Linked DNA regions of Coturnix japonica. The protein of the gene in region 3 interacts with the protein of the main gene of each other region in a pairwise test. Links are inferred from orthologs where the notes say so. Each region holds a gene or a part of one and is shown on either strand. Other genes may lie near its edges.

Region 1 (3,650 bases), on a different chromosome or scaffold from region 3:
CCTCCGAAGCTTTTGGGTAGTTTCTTTCCCTTAGACTTAATTCTTTTCCATCTGCACAAGTGCGTATATTAATTTTGTTCTTAGTGCATGCACACAGAAATCTGCAGTGGAGTAATAACACAAGGTAAATAATATAATGCATTGATTTAATAAATGGGACACTGAACCATTAAGTTGGAAATTGCAAGGTTTATTTAAAGAGGTGGCTTGTTCTGACTGCAATACTGCAGAGACTGGATATGTTTACAGTTGCCAGAAATAACTTGCAGATGACTTTGTAACTGTATATTGAACCTTGCTGATTCTTTGTATTCAGAGTCTAAATGGAGTTTGGCTTAATAAACAGCGCCTGGATCCTTCAAGAACCTATCCTATAGCAGAAGGAGACCGTATCCAGTTGGGAGTGCCTTTGGAAAACAGAGAGACTGCTGAATTTGAGTATGAAGTAATTAAAGAGGAGTGGGAGAAAATCAAACCCTTTTTAGCCCAAAGGAGTGACCTGGGGAAAGCTAGGACCTCAAGACCTAAACGTAAATTTACTTTGGAAGAATCGGAGACATGTGGATCAGAAGGCCCTTCAAATTCCAGATCCAAAAGGGACAGAGTGTCGTGTGATGGAGAACCTTTGAGTAATACATTGGGAAGAGTAGGAGAGGCAGAACAGTTGACAGACAAGGGGGTTGTCAGGCTGCCCTCTCCTGGATCAAGTGAGGACGATGGTGGTCCAGTGCGTGGTAGCCTTGATTGCTCTGAGAAAGCTGTGGCTGTTGCTCACAAGGACCAGAAACACTCCGCTCTTTCTCAGTCATGGACTGGCCTGGAAAAGCTGAGGAAAAATCTCACAGATATAAAGAAATTAAAAGTCAAAGTGCAGGAGAAACAGACAGCAGTTCTGAATGCGAAGCAGAAGCGCAGGAAGGCTGCTCAGAAGACGATCCTAGCAATGGAAAAGGAACTGCAAGAGTTGCAGGACAAACTGTGCACAGAACAAGTACAGCATCAGCAGCAGGTGGAAGAGCTGGAGAGGACATTCTCCAAAGAGAAGCAGAAGCTAGAGGTATGATGGTGGTAATCATTTCAGTCTGTGTGTTTTGAGATATATATTTTTTTCCAATTACGAAACTAAAACTCTGACCCTCTGTGGGTTACAAAGAGGACACGTTAAAAAGCGTTCACGTTAAATGGGATTTTTTTCTTAGTATACAGCTTTTCTGAATTAATGCTAAATTCACGTGGGGAATTTATTTCCTTTTCAAGCAAGTGCATCATTTTTTGCCTGTCTTAATTCAGAGTCTGAGGAAGGAGGGGTTTTTGTTGTTGATTTTTTTGTTTTGTCTTTATTAGGAGAAAAACAGTCTCTTCTTGCTACCCGCAAGTGCCTTCTAGCACTGTGTGGATGCTGATAACTTGTTTTAGATAGGAAGCTACAAGTCTATCTTTCTGTTTGACTCTACTTGAAATCTGGTTCAAGGGAAGTAAGGATTCGTCTGAGAGTTACTTACCTGATTTATCAGTTACTTCCTTTAAAGTCTGCTGCTGAAAGCAGAATACTGTATCAGAAGTACAGGAGGTTTGGAGTTGTGTGCTTAGGATAAAGGGAAGTTCACCTGAAGCTGTAACTCTGTCTGGCCTATTTAAATGTGTTCAGAGAGAGAGCTTCAACTTTTTCTCATGTGTAAGCTATTGCCAGCTTCCTGGCTTCTGTGAACATTGCAGTGTCTTCAGAGCTAGAGTAACATGGAGTTGTTCCAAGTATGGAACTGTAAGTGATACATTCATTTTAGCACTTCACAGTAAATGGGAGCTGTAATTTCAGTAGTACACTTGAATCTCTACAGTAGGCCTTTTCAGTTTCTGCTGAAAATCAGTTTTGTTGCTTTAATTATATCCTCTAAATGTGCAAAATGGTTCTTTTCATTCCCGTGGTATCTTCAAGTATTTTTTTTTCTTCCTCCAATAATTGCTTTACTGCAAGAATGTCTAGTTTTGGTGTTTGATTTTTTTTTTTTTATTTTTTTTTTCAGGGAGTAAAAGGGCAGGATGGGGAAGAGAATCTGAAGGAGCAGCTGGTCCAGGTTCTGCAAGAGGCAAGTAATTAAATCTACTTGGTCTAAATATGGAACTCATATACTTAAATCTTACTGCTTCCACTCTTGGTGGAAGACTAGGACTGTGTCTAAAGTGCATTTTGAGTGGTCTTTATCTTCTACAGACTAAATTATTGCTAGGAAGAGACAGGCCTCCCTTCTTGAGAGTTGTTATTTATCAGCAGATAACACAAGAATCTGTGCTTTTAGAAAGTGTTAAGTAGTGTAGTGGTTCTACTTGAATCCGGTCCACATACTGGTGGATATTTTTGCTAGGTCTGTCCTCTGGTTATCTGTTTTGGGAAAGCTGCCTTGGTAGTTTTAAACCACAGGAAAAAGGACTAGTTTTGGTTAGGAATGTTTCTGAAAGAGATTGTCAAATGCTTAGTTTTCCTAGGCTTTCTGTCTAAAAGGTTTTAAGGCTAATCCAAAAAGAGATTCAACCAGCCCTTCTGACAGGCTTTTGTGACACTTGTGTGTCAGATACTCCTTGATACTCAAATGTAACAGATGCACTCAAGACAGTGACCAGAAAAGCAAAATGAAATGTAAAGTAAGTTGTAGGTGTTGGGTGAACTTCCTTAACACCTTGGCTTATATAGAGCTGGTGCTCTTACAGGAGAAGAAAGGAGAAATGAGTGTGCTGAACCTCATGATTAGATCCATGTGTATTTAATAGGGTAGCTTATAATAACACTCTTATTTTTGGTATCATGGTATCATTACAGCATCATGCTTTGATGGAAGAACTGAGCCGTAGTAAAAAAGATTTTGAGGAGATAATTCGAGCCAAGAATAAAGAACTGGAGGAAACCAAAGTAAGTAATAAAACTAAGTTCTCCGTAATTGGAATATGATATGCTGTGGCAGAATAAATGATTTAACATTTGCTTTGGCTGTGTGCTGCCTTCTGTGTTGAAAAGCTCTTGTATTTTGGTCTGGCGGCTGATTCACTCTGTATAAGATATACTCTTTGCTCTGTTTGTGGAGTAGTATTGCAGAGTTATTACCAGATACAGAAAGCACAGGACATCTGAATAATGTTGTGCAGGAGAAGCTGACCCATTCTTTTCTTTAAAAGAAAACCAAACAAGGGTATTGGAAAAGTGGGTGCTTCATTTTCAGTTTGCGTGGACTGGAGTGAAACTGCAGCATGTTCCAGCAGTCCAACAAGGGAGCACGGGACTGAGACAACGTAACATTTTAATAACGAATGAGATAAGCCATGTTTCTTCCTGCCTCTGTCAAGATGATGAGTGGAAGATAATTAAAGTGATCTTGTGCTGTGTTCTACACTTGGAAATTATGATGTTTCATTCCTCTGGCTATTTGCTTTGTTTTCTTCTGTCAGCTTTGCAACTGTTGCTTTAAGGATAGTTCTTAGAAGATGTAGCAGATGCCGGAAGCCTAATTTAACCCTAAACAACAAAATATGAAGATTGATCCAGTTTGTAGATTCTTTAGATTGAAGGGGACTTTAACAGTGGCTGTTCTTTCTTGTAAGCACTCTGTTATGGACAGGAATATTCTCAGTACTGCTGTAACTACAAAATGGAGGGAGGT
Region 2 (3,650 bases), on a different chromosome or scaffold from region 3:
AGCATACTTGACCAAAGTAACAAACCAATAGTTGGCCACCTGACCAATAGTTCTCTCATGTATGCTTTCAGTTTAAGCAGTTCTTTGCCAGAAAAGGAACCTTTAGCAACTCTGCCTTTATTTTAAAGGACAGAAACCTAAGAATTTAGTGGAGACAACAAATACCCGCTCATTATAGTTTCTACTGAACAAAGCAAGATGCCATGGTTCTGAGGGATTTTGCTACTAACTAGTAATAACACACAGAACCAGGAAAGTCTGCTGAACAATTTGTGAGGACAGTGTTTAGAACTGAGGTTCTGCCATGTAACTATGATAAGATTCCATTCCCCTTGCTCCTACATAAATCATCATCCCAAGAGAGCAAACAATACACTAAGGAGGAGAAAAAAGTTCTGAAGATCAATCCTGGACTTGCCAAATCTGGATTTATCCACTGGTACACATTTATTCTGTGTTCTCTTTATAGCATTAAAACAACACATGATCAGGCACATCTTGGTTAAAAATGAGATGTGCAATGACATATATAATAGACAAGTGCAAGTGAATATACATACGGGGAATCCGTGTTTGTTGTTTTCTTATTGCAGGACCAATATTCAACTTCTTATCCTTGTAATTAAGTTTTTTAGCCTAGAATTTAAAAAAAAAAAAAAGTACTCAGTATTAGGTTTTTTTTACATAGATCAAGGCATTTAAAACAACAACAAAAACCAGAGACACTGCTTCTTATTTAGAACACATATTGACAAAACAAGAACCACATTAGCTTCTTCTTTAACCTGATCTTAGACTACACATACATAAAAGCCACCATTACTTATCTCAAGTATTCCTTACTCATCATAGAGCCTCCTGACTAACAGCTACCTTTAATTCTCAGTTTTTTGTTTGTTCTACCCTTCTGCTCATACAGGCATGTTTCTACTACTAGAATAAAAAGTAAACATATTTAGAAATGGACAATTTCAAGTATAAACTTATTTTTTTCATAATTACAGCCTTGTTTTTATAAAGCAACTTATAAGAACAAGTCTACAAGAAGGACCAGAGTATAAGGACTGAACGTAATAAAAAGCTTAAATTTTATGTGAGACCTTGGGACTGCCTTAAACCCGTGTTACCTTCCTTACATCCATGCTAACAAATGACAAAATAAATAAAAATCAAAAGATGTCCTAATAGCAGAATACCTTAAAAAAGTGTGCAAAGAACCAACAAATTATACAGTCTTCTGATTCCCACTTAGCCCTAACTGCTACCCTACTATGCCACAAAGTTTTCAGCGTCAGGTGTAATTTCTCTACTGCAAATACACCAACTAATCCTATTGAAAACTGAGCAATTTCCCCTCCCAAAAACTACTGTCAGTTTCACTCCAACCACATTCCTCCACAGACAACACAGGGTGACTCTTCTCAACATACTCCATTCCTGTGATCCATCAGAATTCACGCTGCCTTTTTAAATACGACTTACACAGTTAAATATATATCTAATCAGTGCAGATTTCTTCAAAGCATTCGATATGGCACTGCATGAAAAATTACATGTGATGCTACAAGGAAAGATTAATAGGAGAAGCTGTGACTATAAAGTAAGAAAAATGGGAAGAGGTAGCATTAGATGTAGCAGTACGTGACTGGAAAGAGGACCCTAAAGAAATCCCACACAGCCAGTTCTTGAGATGCAATTTAACACTTTTGAGGAATGAAAAACACTATGAAAAAAACTCTGAAGATGTTATTGATGATCAAGAAGTAGGACATTTATAAACAAGAAATTCAATAGTATAAAATAAATAATTTATGCTATAATAAACTATTAAAACTGGGAAACTATCTACTGAAATAGCCCAAATAAGGCTTAGATCATAACTAACCTAAAGATAAACGAGGCTGTGCGATGCAGAAGAAAAATACAACATAATAGCAGGATGTTTGAAATAAAACATGTCCTGCAGACAAAAAGGTATCAGTCTCATACAGTGGGATACTACTAAGACTTGACATGGAACAGCCTTTCAGTTACAGTGCAGGCAAACATTCTGGACCACATTCACAATGATACCCCCTGTATTCTTCTATTTCACAGAAATAAAACAATAAAACCCATGAGAAAAAGGGGAAAAAAACCACAAAGAAACAGCATTCCCGTCTGCGTACTCAAGCTCCACATATTTGTTTTGAAAATACCCAAGATTTCTTTTTAAATGAATTTTAACCTGTAAATATTCAAAGACTCAGTACTTCAATATTTTATCTTGTCTTATATTTGGCAGAAGATATTTTGCAAGCCTTGGATACTGTTTTCTGTTCTCCCCCCCACCCCATGTCTGTTATTTTAAAGTAGGAGCTGAAAAACTAATAAACACCTAACAGTTAATCCTATCTCAAGGGAGGCTCTAGAGGGAACATCAAGATGGTTACTTGGGTAAGTAGAAAAGCAACTGTTATATAACATTAAATGAACTTGACTATTTAAGACCTCTAATAAATTTATTCCTCAGAAGAGCTACAACAGCTCCGATGATCAAATATGTCAGAATAAAATAAAGCAGTTATCTTCTCCAACTTATCTTAACAATGCATCTTCTAGTAAAGCAAATGAAGGATAAGGAGTAATCAGCATGCACCAGAACAGACTGTATGGAGCACATGTAGAGTAAGAAAGCAAATACTACATGCCAAAGTAAAGCATTCTAATATCAGACGACAGCTCACTTCTCTAGATTCAGAGCATTTCTTGTCTTAATAGAATGGCCTTGGCTGGAGGGGACCTTAAAGATCATATAGTTCCAATCCCCTGCTATGGGCAGGGCTGCCAACCACTAGATCAGGCTGCCCAGGGCCCCATCCAACGTGGCCTTGAATGCCTCTGGAGATGGGGCATCCACAGCTCCTCTGGGCAGCCTCAAAACCCTCTTAGTAAAAAGCCTCTTCCTAATACCTAACTTAAGGTTACCTTCTTCCAGTTTAAAGCCACTCCCCCTTGTCCTATCACTTTCAGATCATGTATAAAGACTGTCCACCTCGTGCTTAAACTCCCTTAAAGTACTGTAAGGCCACACTGAGGTCTCCCCAGAGCCATCTCTTCCCCAACCCATGTAAGCCCATCTCCCTCAGCTTTTCCTCATAAGAAGCTATCTTAGATCTCTAGCTCTCTAAGTGTTTCTTCAACTATACTGTAGGAAGACAGAATGACCAATCTTAACAGACCTACCAATCCATGTAGACCAACAGAAAATGGTTGGAAAACCAGAGATACTTTATGTCCCCCATGAAATAAATTATTTATAAGGGAATCATAATGGGGAATATTACTCACCTCTTGTAGTATCTTCTGTGCATCTTCTTGAGTTTCAAAAGTAATGAAACCATACCTAAATAAAAAGAGAGCTAAGTCTCTGATGATCGTAATTTCATATATTGCACATTAATACTTTCCATATAGTAATGGTATTAGAAGGGAAGGGGAATAGGAAAAAATCAGTTGTAGAAATAGAGACTGTAGTAACAACTGTAGCTTTGATTTGTTAATAAACCTCATTGTAGCCTACTTTCTAGTATGTTTAGATACATGGTCACATATCATTGTTTCCATGCAGCGAATGAGTAGTTCACCTAAACAGCTAAGCAAAACCTGCT
Region 3 (3,650 bases):
TAGAGAATGACCAAGTTGTTTGGGCGATGAAGCCCCTGTTTTACTGGGCTATCTAGGTTCTTATGTCTGTGCAGTGATTTTACTGCATAGGCACATATATAGCATTAAAAAGTCATTCTTCTCCTGTCTGAACTGAATGCTGCTTTGATAAGCATTTTGAATTTCAATCTTAGTCCTGAGCCAAGCAGGAAAAATTCTTCTTGGCCTGAAAATGTTCCTGAACAGCTTCAACAAGCAGGAAGCTTGTTGCATAGGTAGTTGCTTGTGCAAGAATCTCTTCTAATTACAACCTAAGATTCAGAAACAAGAAAATAAAGATTTTTTTTTGTGGTTCTGCTCCTGAGTTGTTGTGTGGCTCCTTGCAGATCATATAGTTGGTGGTTTTTTTTGGTTGTAGAACTGGGGAAGCAGGGACAGGCAGAAAGGTTGGGATTCTGGCTTTTAGTATTTGAAAGGAATTAGGAAATCTTATAGTGAAAGGCAGTACAACCATGTTACATGCGCATGAGAGGAAGGACAGAAATTGTGTATGGCTGTTTGGTATCAAAACCTGGTCTTAGGACTTGGGAAACGTGGTAACAGGAATATTGTGCCTTAGCAGCCTGCGGTGTTTGCTTTAAAACTGTGCAAGGGACTCGGTATTAGGCCAAGCATAAGGCATGCTAGCAAGTGGTGGTACAATTGTTTCAGTGTCACAGGGCCGATCCCAATCCAGTTATTGTTATCACTTGCATTAGTGTTTGCCAGCAAGGTGTGCAGTGCAGGACAGCTTGCCCACACTCACAGAGGAAGCATGCATTGCATCTCACTGGTTCACATGGGGGAGTGGTGTTGATGGGCTGCACCTCATGAGGTTTCTAGGCTGAGTAGGAGTGGTGAAAGTGCAGTGTGTGTATCAGGACTCCTAAAGCTAGATAGAGGAGAGGTTGGAATCTTTTTCAATAGAAATAGTTGTGTGATTGCTAGCTGAGCAGATACAGTCTTCCCTCCTCTTTCCATGCCAGCCCAGATCACGTTGTTAGTTCTACACCCATCTTTGTGTGCCCAAAGAGGAAGCTGGTAGGGATGGCAGACAGGTTTCTAGATCTGACAGGGGAACGTGCTCTTCCTCACTCCCCTTCCACAGTGGCAGGCCAGTGGTGGCTCCTTTAAGCATTATTCTCCTGTGTGTTTTGTGTTGATGACTTCAGTTCTTGCCAGTTATCCAGATGATATTAAAACCAGTTCTCTGGGAAGGCTTTCATCTGGAAAGGAGCGTAAAGATGATAGGAAACTCTAAAATAACACGGAGAGGAGCAAATGTGAGATGAGGAGAGTGAATTGCTTTTTTTGCAGTGCAGTCGTGCAATCCAGTTAGTGAGGAAATCTCAATCACTGATGCTTTTTAGATCTCTAGCAAATATGACAGAGAGGTGATTTGAGAATTTAAAGGTGTAAATTGACTTCCCTGTGGCTTCGGAGAGGTTTTTGGATCCACGTGAATGCGTGGAGGAGCTGACAGCATGGTTCACACAGGGAATGTAGGTCTGTGCGGTGCTCGCGGCAAGTACGTGTCTGAGGCAGTTGGCAATTCCCTCAGTGCCCTCCTGCAGGTCAGCTGGCGTTTGGCTGTTCCCTTCAGTACAGCAACCTACACCTAGACCTCGATGTTAGAAAAAAGCAGTTGGCCTCCATCTACACCAAGGGGGATTGTGGTGAAGCAGAAATTCGAAAGAGCTGCTGCATGTGAAGCTGGGGCGCATGCACAAGATCCGTTCCCTGTACCCACGCTGCCTGCTCCTTCTCTTGGTGTAGATTCTGGCATTCACTGCAGTCTTTGTTGTTTCAGGTTGGAAGTTGAGTCCTGTGGTTGGAGCGGTGTACGGCCCTGAGTTATATGCAGGTAGAGCTTCAGCAGACACTTCCACTTCTGCCATTTAACTGCAGTGGTGTTTGTTTATGTTCTCAATTTGCTGTTTCTTTATAACCTTTTTACGTTTTTGTTTTTGTTTTTTTCATTCTTTTTAAAATTAAATTAGCGTCCAGCTTTCAAGCAGATGTCTCGCTGGGCAATGACGCCGCAGTGCCCCTGTCAGGAAGGGGGGGTATTAACACTTACATTCCTTTAATCAGTAAGTAGCCCCCATTGGCCCCTCTCTTGTTACTGTGCTTGAGTTAACTATGACCTGTTTCCCTTCTTTTCTCCGGTCTGTACGATATATACTTGAAAGGATGGGTCTTGTCGGGAATGAGTTTACCTATAGCCCAAGTATGCTGCGCAGTGGCTGTAACCCGTTCATCTGCAGTTTTTCTGTACTATGAATGGGTTCATCTATGTGACAAGGAGGCTGCAGACCTAGGGGAGGGTGTGTGCAAGGAATAGGCCGTTCCCTTTATTTCCCTCCGCCCCTTGGGAATCAAAGAAACCAAACGGACAGTTCCTAAAGTACATATTAGACAAGCTGTCCAGCTTTGAGTGCACAGGGCCCCTTGGTGTGCACCTGGGTGCACACCAGGTTGGGTTCATGCCTCTCCACTTGTCCCTCTTGGTACCTACTCATGACGTGTCTGCAGATGCCTCTAGGGCTTCACGTCATTCCACGGTGAGCCAGCATCAAGTATAATAACGTTAAATGAAGAGGGGCTCTCAGTAAGCTGGCACTTTATGGGAAGTTTCTGCTGCTGTTATATGGGCTATCTTGTCTTTCAGGCTTTAAAATGAACATACAGAGGATTGGGTGGCAAAGAGTGGGAGGGGAAAGGAGGGAAGAGACTGATGTAAGTTGATTGACTTTAAGGGCCTCTTGACAAATTATTTTAAAGAGCCTCTGCAGTTTTGGAAGAGCCGCCTGCTATATTGATAGTAACTCTCTGCGCTTCTCGGACTCTAACCAGACTGCATGGCGGTGTCAGAGGGGGGGATTTGGACCCTGTTTGTGGTGGGTGAGGCATGCCAATGCATTAACCTCTTGCATGCCAAACCTCTCTGCAACCCCTCCTCCCTGAAAGGCCATGGTGTAGCAGGACGTATGTATACGATGCTTGCTGGGTTAGAAGCATGCCCCTCCGCAGGATTGATGCAAAACATCCCACCGCTGCGGAGCTCTTGTGTCACTTTGTTTGAAGCAGGCGGTTGTTCCCTGGGCAGGAGCTGGGATCCTTTTCACCTTCTCTCTTGTCTGTCTTTACAGTTCCAGGCTTCCCCTATCCAACTGCAGCCACTACAGCAGCCGCATTTCGGGGAGCCCACCTGAGGGGCCGAGGAAGGACGGTTTATGGGGCAGTCCGGGCAGTACCTCCTACAGCCATCCCTGCCTACCCAGGGTAAGCATTGGTCGCAAGAGCAGAGTGCTCTGCACAACCGTGTCAAATAATAAATTGGCTAACAAAAACGTAACTAAAATTGTTGGATGGTGAGAGTCAGGCTATTTGCTTAGCGCCAGAGTGTTCTGCATACGATGGCATCCAATGGGGGCAGTCCTAAATTTTGCTACATTAAGTTCATGCCTGAGAGAATGTTCAGTACTTGCAACAGCCTGAAGTGCTGATGTACTCCTTCTCAGAATTTCTCAATTCATCTTCTGGTATTTGTCATCCATTGACCCAATACATTGCAGCACTACTGAGAAGGACGCAAAGAGGGGTCTAAGATGTCCTAAAAAGTTACAACT

Evidence for each region.
Region 1: the proteins of RBFOX2 (region 3) and RNF8 interact in binary tests that used the Homo sapiens proteins (3 or more experiments, as listed by UniProt). The two-hybrid records come from large-scale screens. The link is inferred for Coturnix japonica from reciprocal best matches to the Homo sapiens genes RBFOX2 and RNF8.
Region 2: the proteins of RBFOX2 (region 3) and BOLL interact in binary tests that used the Homo sapiens proteins (3 or more experiments, as listed by UniProt). The two-hybrid records come from large-scale screens. The link is inferred for Coturnix japonica from reciprocal best matches to the Homo sapiens genes RBFOX2 and BOLL.

The regions. Positions count from the first base shown.
Region 1 is NC_029518.1:27,120,538-27,124,187, reverse strand, and holds part of RNF8 (E3 ubiquitin-protein ligase RNF8), read left to right. Parts: intron 1-316; coding exon 317-1,057; intron 1,058-2,024; coding exon 2,025-2,087; intron 2,088-2,815; coding exon 2,816-2,905; intron 2,906-3,650. UniProt on the Homo sapiens protein: E3 ubiquitin-protein ligase that plays a key role in DNA damage signaling via 2 distinct roles: by mediating the 'Lys-63'-linked ubiquitination of histones H2A and H2AX and promoting the recruitment of DNA repair proteins at double-strand breaks (DSBs) sites, and by catalyzing 'Lys-48'-linked ubiquitination to remove target proteins from DNA damage sites.
Region 2 is NC_029522.1:8,896,117-8,899,766, forward strand, and holds part of BOLL (protein boule-like), read right to left. Parts: intron 3,386-3,650; coding exon 3,331-3,385; intron 637-3,330; coding exon 561-636; intron 1-560. UniProt on the Homo sapiens protein: Probable RNA-binding protein, which may be required during spermatogenesis. May act by binding to the 3'-UTR of mRNAs and regulating their translation.
Region 3 is NC_029516.1:47,483,307-47,486,956, forward strand, and holds part of RBFOX2 (RNA binding protein fox-1 homolog 2), read left to right. Parts: intron 1-1,828; coding exon 1,829-1,882; intron 1,883-2,018; coding exon 2,019-2,111; intron 2,112-2,689; exon of another isoform or gene 2,690-2,757; intron 2,758-3,170; coding exon 3,171-3,303; intron 3,304-3,650. UniProt on the Homo sapiens protein: RNA-binding protein that regulates alternative splicing events by binding to 5'-UGCAUGU-3' elements. Prevents binding of U2AF2 to the 3'-splice site.